2 linked regions of the Arabidopsis thaliana genome follow. The protein of the gene in region 1 interacts with the protein of each later gene in a pairwise test. Each region holds a gene or a part of one and is shown in the gene's direction. Other genes may lie near its edges. The genes, in order: AT1G75710 and AT1G76590.

Region 1 (5,007 bases):
AAACTATTAATCACAAGCCAATACTAACCGGCCACGTTGTCAGTAGAGACTCTTTTAACATGCAGTAGGATTAAATTTTCTGTCAGTCGAATAAATTCCATTGTCACCGGACTAACAATAGTATTTTAAATGTTACGTACGTAAACAATTACTACTTTACTTTTCGTTTTTTGAAATTCAAACTTGTTTATGAATCAAACATATTCTCAAGATCTCGCGCTTCGTTTCTTCTTTTGTCTCAATGAACATAACATATTTAACAAAATTTTAAACGAAATGACTTTATAACAATCTCTGGTGATTTTTATAACCAAAGTTTAAAACAAAAGAGAAGGACAAATGTGGAACACGACAAGTGAGAAGGCCAAAGCGACTGCGTGATAAATCCAAGTATTGCGGCGAATGTGAAGGTCTTAGAATTTTACATATAGTCAACGATCAACCTTAAAATCGTAGTTTCTTTTGATTGCTACAAATTTTCACCCTAAATATGATTAATTTACTTTTATGTTATTGATGATGAATGATTAATATAATTACTCGAAATTGTGTGTTGTGTTTGAACGCAATTACCACAATCTAAAAATATACAAGCTCACTTGAGTTATCACATTAAAAATGTTCTTCCCATAATGTCGACATTTATTACACATTAAATTATTATTTATTTAGTGCATTAAACTGTTTTTTATGATAATCAGTATATTAATAAATGAATTTACACCCATACTTTTTTACACAAACTTCAAGTGTAACTCCACCTCTATTTACTGTACTGAGATTAGTTTATGACACCCTATCCTAATTACTTTGAAAAAAATAGTCTATCAATATGAAGTAATACATTGCATAAATCTGAAATACTTACATACAAACTGAGACCAAAAACTATTGAAGTAAAAATGATATAAATGTACCAAACTATTTAGGAAACAAGGAATTAAGAGCATTGAAATTTTCAAATCGAGACAAATAGAACATTTGGAATCCGTAATCACAGTTCCAAATACGAAGTTTCCAAAGACCTTGTCTGGTGTTTAACGTGTAATCTTGTTCTGTTAAAAAAATACTTTTGACCATACATATCAACAACATCATTTTTAGAATTATTATTATTATTATATTTTTGATGTACTAATTAATTCCATTTCTTTTCTTGTTGTCTTGCTTGCATTCATGGAATCTCCAAACTTTGATTTTTAAAACTAATTATTTCTGTCATCAAACTTGTTTTAATGGTGAACTTATACATTTTTATTATGTAGTAACGACTATTAATAAAGAGATTCCATTCAAAGTTTTGAGTATAATAACCAAACAAATCAATACTACCAATATAAACATCAGTGACGTTGACTAATTCCGCCTTTAAGAAGGTCAAACTGTAATGGAAGATTATAGATGAAGCAGTTAAAGCACATACAAAGCCAACCAAGCTCGTCCAAAAAAATTAACTTCAAGATCTTCTAACTAATTTATAATCATCAAAAAAGTAATTTACTATCTATCCAAAATCCATAATTAAATACTGTTTTTTCTTTTGAGGAAAATCCACAACTAACAAAGCAAGCAACCAGATGCCAAAATTAATTAGAAAGATATTTTTCTCTGACAAAACAAGATATCTGAATATAGTTAAATTAGTACCCTATTTTCTATTAAAAGATTATAATTTTAATAAATTCGAACGACAAGAATATTAATCAGAAGGGTAAGAAAGTAAAACTGTAAAATAAAGAATTAAAGAAAGATAGAGCCCACTACTTTAATCTTCTTCCCTCCTTATTACCCATCTTGGATCCATCTTCGATTTCAACACCTAAAAATAAAAGCTTATAATTAAAGAACCATAAAGACGAACACAAAAGAAACTCTCACATTCTCAAGAGTTTCTTTCTTCTTTCAATGGCTTTACTAACTTTCTTGCCGGAGAACGCAGAGGCGCCACAAAAACACAAGCCAACGTCTAGCAAACGAAAGAAACGCGATAATCCCACCGACCAAACGCAGACACAGAAACATAAACCGCAGAAACCGAAGAAAGCAGTACCTCCGAAGCAGCCATCTTCATGGGACCAAATCAAGAACCTATTGACTTGCAAACAAATCGAAGGGTCAAGAGTCCATGATCCTTCCAAGAACTCTCAATCTGGTCCGTCCATGACAACTAACTTATCTCCTTCCAAGCTTGGCTCGTCGTGCAGCTCCATTTGCAGCTTTAGAGACGTGGCTCACGGCAACACTCGTGTGGTTCATAGAGCTGATCACTCACCAGACGTAGGTAACTCGGCTACTCCTAACTCGGAGACTCGGCTTCTGACTCGGAAACCTGGTCAACACGGTTCTTCTTCGTCTCGGTCTCTTACATCTGGCTCAACGAGATCTAACGCCAGTGGGAGTTACACGTCATCGTCAACGACTTCGTTTAGAGCCATGCAGTTCCGTAAACTCTCCGGATGTTACGAATGTCACATGATCGTTGACCCGAGCAGGTAATGACACCAAAAATTAATTATGAGTAAGTAAATGTTCTTCTGAATTATATTTTTGTAATTTCATTTTCATGTTCTTGAATTTTAGGTATCCGATTTCGCCTAGGGTTTGTGCTTGTTCCCAATGTGGAGAAGTTTTCCCCAAGCTTGAAAGCTTAGAGCTTCATCAAGCAGTTCGTCACGCAGGTAAGGCTTTTTTTTTCCTTTTAACAAAAATTGTTTGACTTTATCACTTACCTCAAATTAATTAATTACGCTTTAGCTACAATTTTTTATTTTTTGGTGTGTGGTAGTCACATTTTTAAATTTAACCCTAAGTATCTAGTGAGATTTTCGTAAATGCGAATGGCTTGGCAAAGTAAGATTATGTTTTGTATCCTTGGAAAAAAACTTAAGATCTCAGTCCATGATTTGACTTGTGAATGATGATACAACCTTTGTTTGTTTAGTATTGATTGAATAATTAGCATTAACACATGTTTTCCGGCGTATAGGCCCTTGGATTTATCGATAGATTTACCATAATGCTAAGCAAATAATTAACGAACATGCTTTCATTAATATATATCTTAGACTTCGTTGTTTCTTAATGGAATCAAGATCTCAGTGTTATTGTCGGTGATTATATCGATCAAATAAGTTAGGATGATTTGGCCGTATGTTACAGATTGTTTTTGGAATAGAGATTCATACGTATTTTTAGAGAAAGATACAAAAGAGAATAGGAATATAACTGGAGAACAAGATATATTCTATGGTCTCCAAATCCGTCGTTTTGCTTGGAAACACTTACCATGCGATGGGACCATTGTACTATAAAAAGAAACAGCTGTCTCTGCTCTTAACTAAATTCAATGTCCCCCTGAAATATTACGTGTCATTTTTCAATTCGACAGTATCAGAATTAAAACCCCTCACCTGACAAAAACCGAATTATAGAACTGTCTTTAATGTCCCAAAAACTCAGATTTTTGTTTTGACTTGCATATTTTTCCTGATTTTATGAGCAAAAACGTTGTCGTTTAATTGCAGTTTCGGAGTTAGGTCCGGAGGATTCGGGTCGAAACATAGTGGAGATCATATTCAAATCAAGCTGGCTTAAAAAAGACAGTCCCATCTGTCAGATCGAACGGATATTAAAAGTCCACAACACTCAACGTACGATCCAACGGTTTGAGGATTGCCGAGACGCAGTGAAGGCGCGTGCACTTCAAGCAACCAGAAAAGATGCTCGTTGTGCCGCCGACGGCAACGAGCTCTTACGTTTTCACTGCACCACTCTCACTTGTTCACTCGGAGCTCGTGGCTCTTCTTCTCTCTGCTCTAACCTCCCTGTTTGTGGCGTCTGCACCGTGATTCGCCACGGTTTCCAAGGAAAATCTGGTGGCGGAGGAGCCAACGTCGCAAACGCCGGTGTGAGGACGACGGCGAGCAGCGGAAGAGCTGATGATTTGCTGAGGTGTAGCGATGATGCGAGGAGAGTGATGCTTGTGTGCCGTGTGATCGCTGGGAGAGTTAAGCGAGTTGATTTACCGGCGGCGGATGCTTCGGCTACAGCGGAGAAGAAGTCAACGGTGGAGGATAACTCGGTGGTTGGAGTTTCTTCGAGTGGTGGTACGTTTGACTCGGTGGCGGTCAATGCTGGAGTTTATTCGAATCTTGAGGAGCTTGTGGTTTATAACCCGAGAGCTATATTACCTTGCTTCGTGGTTATTTACAAAGTTTTAGAATCTTGAATTTGTAATTTTAACTTGAGAAATAATGTTTGTTTTTTGTACTTCTAACTTTTTAATATTATAGGGAGAGATTAGGGATAATCATCAACCTGCATCATAATTCCCATCTTATTATTGACTATTAAGTGTAATTCTCAGGAGTCTAAGCTAATATGTTCTTGGTTATCTCTATTATTGAAAATCATGATTAGGTTAAGAATTCAGTAGTCGAGTGGGTTAAAAATCATGATTATGAATTATGATGAACTTAACGTGTTATTTCTCAATTTAGGCTTTTTGACCAGTAAATGTAACATTTTGTTAACTATGGTAAATTTCATAGCTGTGTTCACACTTGGTGGGAATCAAATAGTGTGGGAGTGGCAGAGTGATATAATTGCTATCACATGCGTTTTCAGTAAATTATTTTATTCACCCAAGTTCTTTTCGTTATTTTTTAAGAAATATTTATAGGGAAAGCTGATTTTGTAAAAGTTGGGTATTGTATAGTTTTAATTTAGTAGTTATATAGTGTTGTCAAAAAAAGAAGAAGGAAATAGTAGTTATATGGTATGGTTCAGATAAGTTCAAAATTTACCCATAAATAAAAAAGGCTTGCACGCTGAGAGGGTGCACCATTGGAACTTTCCTCGTTGTCAGAAGCTGCTACATTGTTTATTTTTATAATAACTCGATTTCTCCTTGGAGTTGCAAATGAAATCAGAGATTTAGAATCAAACCAGTTTAATATTCGAGTTTTACAACAAATATGTCTAGCATAGGTTAAAATTCAGAAGTTC
Region 2 (4,508 bases), 310 kb from region 1:
AGACAAGGCTCTCACTTCAGTTGGGGTGGTCTTGATTATGGCTCAATCTAAGGTTTGTTATATAACTAAGTGTTGTTAATTCTTTTGGTTCGATACCAAAAGGGAAAAAAAAAGTGCGATGAAGGAAACTGAGAATGAGAGGCATAGTGAGAAAACCCAAAGACATGTGGATCTTGGACATTGCAGAGATGGAATCACTCACTGGTCTTTGGTGAGCCAGAGAGTACAGAGAAACTGGTTCAGGTCAGAGCAGACATAGCTTCAACACAACACCCAAGTTTTTATATATTTGGCTAATTATGTTTTATTCTTGCATATGTTAATTTCCCATTCTCCCTTAATTACAGTTTTTAGTTGCTTAACACAAAAGCTGTTGCTATTTTACTGAAGCTGTTTTCTCCTGTGTGTTTATTGTATCTCTGTAGAGTTGTGAACGTAGTTGAACATTGTTGTAAAATTGTAATGTAATACCTTTTTGGTTAATCCTACGTAAAAGTAGTATTAGCCACTACTTGCTAAACATTTTAAAGGGACATCTTAAAAAGTGAAGATGATTCTTCACAAATAAACCACAACGGTCACGTGAGTCTCGTGCTATTGACTACTATTGTTGAGGTCGGTCAACAGTGCATTGCCCCATCTTTACCTTCTTCTTCCCACATTTGTTTGGGATATTTTTCAATTTACTCACTTTATGAATACAAACAAAACAATAAAACTAATCTCTTTTGTGTGTAGTTGAAAGAGATAAGATCGCAGAAAAGAAGACGATGATTCGTCGACTTTTCTCCCAACATTTTGAACAATTAGTTGTTATGTGTAATTTTCTATAGATAGCTACTATCTGATTACGTGGATCACACTTCTCTTTTTATTATTATCTCTTTAGGTTTCTTATCCCATATAATATGATATCAGGTCTCTTTCTCGAGTAATACATTATATATCTATGTTGATTATTTACTACTTGTCATTTAAGATAAGATACTTAAAAATACTTGTTATTGGATTTTGCCGGAAGACTTAACTTTCAAACTCTATTATATGTAGAAGATAGCGGACTGAAAAATACGTCGAAGACAGATACTTCTATTGCATAATTTTTGGGTAGGGACTAGAAAACTTACTCGTAGTTTCGACATATCATCCGCAATCTCAAATTAATTGCAAACTTTTTGATCATATCTATTGAAACTATCTTTCTAGCTTCATTAATTCGTTACCAGCCCCCAATATAAGCTATCAAGTATGAATATTAAGATGGATTTAACGGTGATAATAGTAGTATGTACAGTTTCTTTTGTCAACAGCTGATAAAAAAAATGAAAGCTTCTAACAGTTTGAGCCTAAAGAGATCATATATGTGAACAGTTTCACACACACATAAGCCGTACAACTAATATAGATATCACTTTGACCGTAAAAATCTAACAGTTTAGATCACACACACACAATCTTGAAACTAGTTTAAAGCACTTTCAGCGAAAAGTACTCACTAGATGATAAGAACTCTTTGGCACGTAACAGACGCTTTCGAACCCTACGATTTCAAGAGGTGGCTTATGTACGGTCCACTCAACTTCTTCATCCGACGGTCTAAGATTGGTCATGTGGGTTGAACTACCAAAAGGGCCAAAAGCGTGAGCCACGTTACATTATAAAAGATTTTGTCTTTTTAATCCAACGGTTCACACCAGAATCTCCAATTCGGTTCTGTCTCCTCTCGTGTCGGTCCATCTCTCTGGCTCTTCACCTCTAGCCACGTGTTTCTAATTTTGACCTTTTAAAATTTTAAGAAAAAAACAAATTATTTCTTGTAGCTAAAATTTAGCATCCAAATTCCAAACTCAGAGTTCTCTTCTATGGCCGTATGATACTTCCAATAATCCGTATGTATGTGAATATCATAATCTATCACAAACATAATGAATAGTAGTAGATATTAAGACAATCAAATTTGGTAGAAAAAATATCTTCCTACGTTGGGAATTATGTAGGACCGAATAATATAGTCGGCTAATTCGATATTTTGTCGCGAACCACGACATAAAATTATTTATCATCATTTGTGAACAATAATGATTCAAAATTATCAATAACACCACCTTTTTTTTTTAAGTTCCTTTACTTCTGGGGTCTCTAGAGACCCACACATGTGCACAAAATATACGTGTGTCTCTCATAGACTTTAAAGCAAAATTAGAGAACACTTATTTTTAGCCAAAAAAAGTAATTAAAGAAAAAACTATATAAAAACAGTTTAAAAAGGGGATGATATTAAATGATTTTCATGTGAATTATAAAACGTATTGAGTATTATCGTGACCGACTTCAAAAAACAAGAAAAACCTCAACTTCTCTTTTTCAGCTATAGCCGCCGCCTCCTCCCACTAAACTCAAATCCTCTCATAGTCTTTTCAATCAAATCTGCTCTTCTTCACTGTTGAAGCTGGCTATCAAAACTCACAATAACTATGGTGATTGATTGATTCTCTTTCTTACTTAACTCTGTTTTAGTTTCTTTGCAAATTCTTATATTAACCATTTGGAACTGGTCTAAACATTCTTCAGGGACCGATGATGATGAGAGCAGAAGAAGATAACTACAATCTAAATCCTCCACCATGGCTAATCCCAATGCTAAGAGCAAACTACTTCATCCCTTGTTCAATCCACGCCGCTTCCAACAAAAGCGAGTGCAACATGTTCTGTCTTGACTGTTCTTCTGAGGCCTTTTGCTCTTACTGTTTGCTCAATCACAGAAACCATCGTGTCCTCCAGGTTCTTTCATCAACTTCAAATCATTTTTTTCTCTCTTACCAATTCACCCAACAGAGTTAAGAAAATGGGATTTTCATTACTTGCAGATACGGAGATCATCGTACCACAACGTTGTGAGAGTAAACGAGATTCAGAAGTACATAGACATATCTTGTGTTCAGACATATATAATCAACAGCGCAAGGATCGTTTTCTTGAACGAACGTCCTCAGCCAAGAATCGGCAAAGGAGTCACCAATACTTGTGAAATCTGTTGCAGAAGCCTTCTCGATTCTTTCCGTTTCTGCTCTCTCGGTTGCAAAGTAACTCTTCTTTCCTCTGTTTTCCTCTGTTTTGAATGAATATCTGAATTTGCTCTGTATAGTTGAAATGACCATATTGCCCTTTTGTTTGGTTTATTTCAGCTTGGAGGAATGAAGCGTGATCCAAGTCTAACCTTCTCTTTGAGAGGGAAGCATGGAAGAGAGTACGAAGGTGAGTGGGAATCTGATGAAGCGACTACACCAACTAAGATACGCAAGACATGTGCTTTCAACCGTCTGATGAGTGGTCTTTCCATCTCCACCGTTAAATGTGATTACTTGTCAGGAGATCAACCGTCTTCGAGCTCCGGTGATGAGAGCGGTTTTAAACTTTCTCCGGGGACACCGCCGATATATAATCACCGGAATTCAAGTAGACGGAAGGGCGTCCCACACCGTGCTCCTTTCTAAAATTAATACTAACGGAAGCTAATTATATAGTGTAGATTATAGAAAATGTGGTTGTTATGTTGTAACTAAATGGTTAGTAGTTTTTAACCTTTTGAGCTAGGAATATACATATTGTAAGACATATTACTTACAGGTATTGTTTGGTTTTTCTTTTTATAGTACATATAGAAATTAGGTATATACTGTACTCAAAGGGATTGAAATATGTTTTCATATAGTTTTTTTGCTGTAAATATACGTTTGAAGGAGGTATGTTTCTTCAACTTGTTTGTATCGTATACTGTGTACTATCTTCACAATAAAATAGCAAATATGATAACTAGGATTTTTAACTGAAGCGCTAATATTCGAAGAACTAAATTGTCAATGAGAATGATACAGACGAATAACGAGATTTAAAATAAGAAACTGTCGATCAAGACATGTATTAGTATTGTCAGAACACAAAAACATTGGTGATAAGCTGGGGCAAAAAACATTCTGGGTCTATCTATTTCAAGGAAAGGAGCTTCGACTCAAAAGAAGCTTATGTCATTAGAACTTAGAAGTCGATTGTTAACAACAGTTCAAATACTTCGTTTCCCTAAATTGGTTATCAAGTAGTTTCAACTTTAAACTCGTGCTATTAGAATTTTTTTTTTATTTTCGAACGATATAACGTGGTTCTTCGAAACAATACTTCGCTAAATCCTAATAACTTTCGGCATTTGAAATGCTCATGATGTCATGCATCTACCTTTTTTCCGTGGTTGCCTCACCTTTTAATGGTGTTTTGATGTTAAATTTTTTTATGTATAAGTTGTATTTTAGTTTTTTTTTTTTTTTTTGACTGACTTTTGGATCTAACCTATGATTTAAAGATCGGAGAGACCATTCTGATCTTTGTATCTGGCGGGTCTTGGGAGATGGTGGAAAAGAAAAACCTATGATTCGTCAAAGATGGTTGAAAGATGAAGAACTTGAATATGAAGGTTTTTTCGATTGGGACAAATAGATGAAAAATAAAGAAAACAT

The links.
Region 2: the proteins of AT1G75710 (region 1) and AT1G76590 interact in a two-hybrid assay, tested with the Arabidopsis thaliana proteins (one large-scale study listed by BioGRID).

Annotation. Positions count from the first base shown.
Region 1 is NC_003070.9:28,426,901-28,431,907, forward strand, and holds AT1G75710 (C2H2-like zinc finger protein), read left to right. Parts: upstream 1-1,770; 5' UTR 1,771-1,905; coding exon 1,906-2,492; intron 2,493-2,580; coding exon 2,581-2,678; intron 2,679-3,524; coding exon 3,525-4,228; 3' UTR 4,229-4,439; downstream 4,440-5,007.
Region 2 is NC_003070.9:28,738,401-28,742,908, forward strand, and holds AT1G76590 (PLATZ transcription factor family protein), read left to right. Parts: upstream 1-2,139; 5' UTR 2,140-2,474; coding exon 2,475-2,477; intron 2,478-2,571; coding exon 2,572-2,781; intron 2,782-2,867; coding exon 2,868-3,083; intron 3,084-3,185; coding exon 3,186-3,494; 3' UTR 3,495-3,831; downstream 3,832-4,508. Other genes in the region: AT1G76580 (Squamosa promoter-binding protein-like (SBP domain) transcription factor family protein), read left to right, coding at 1-51.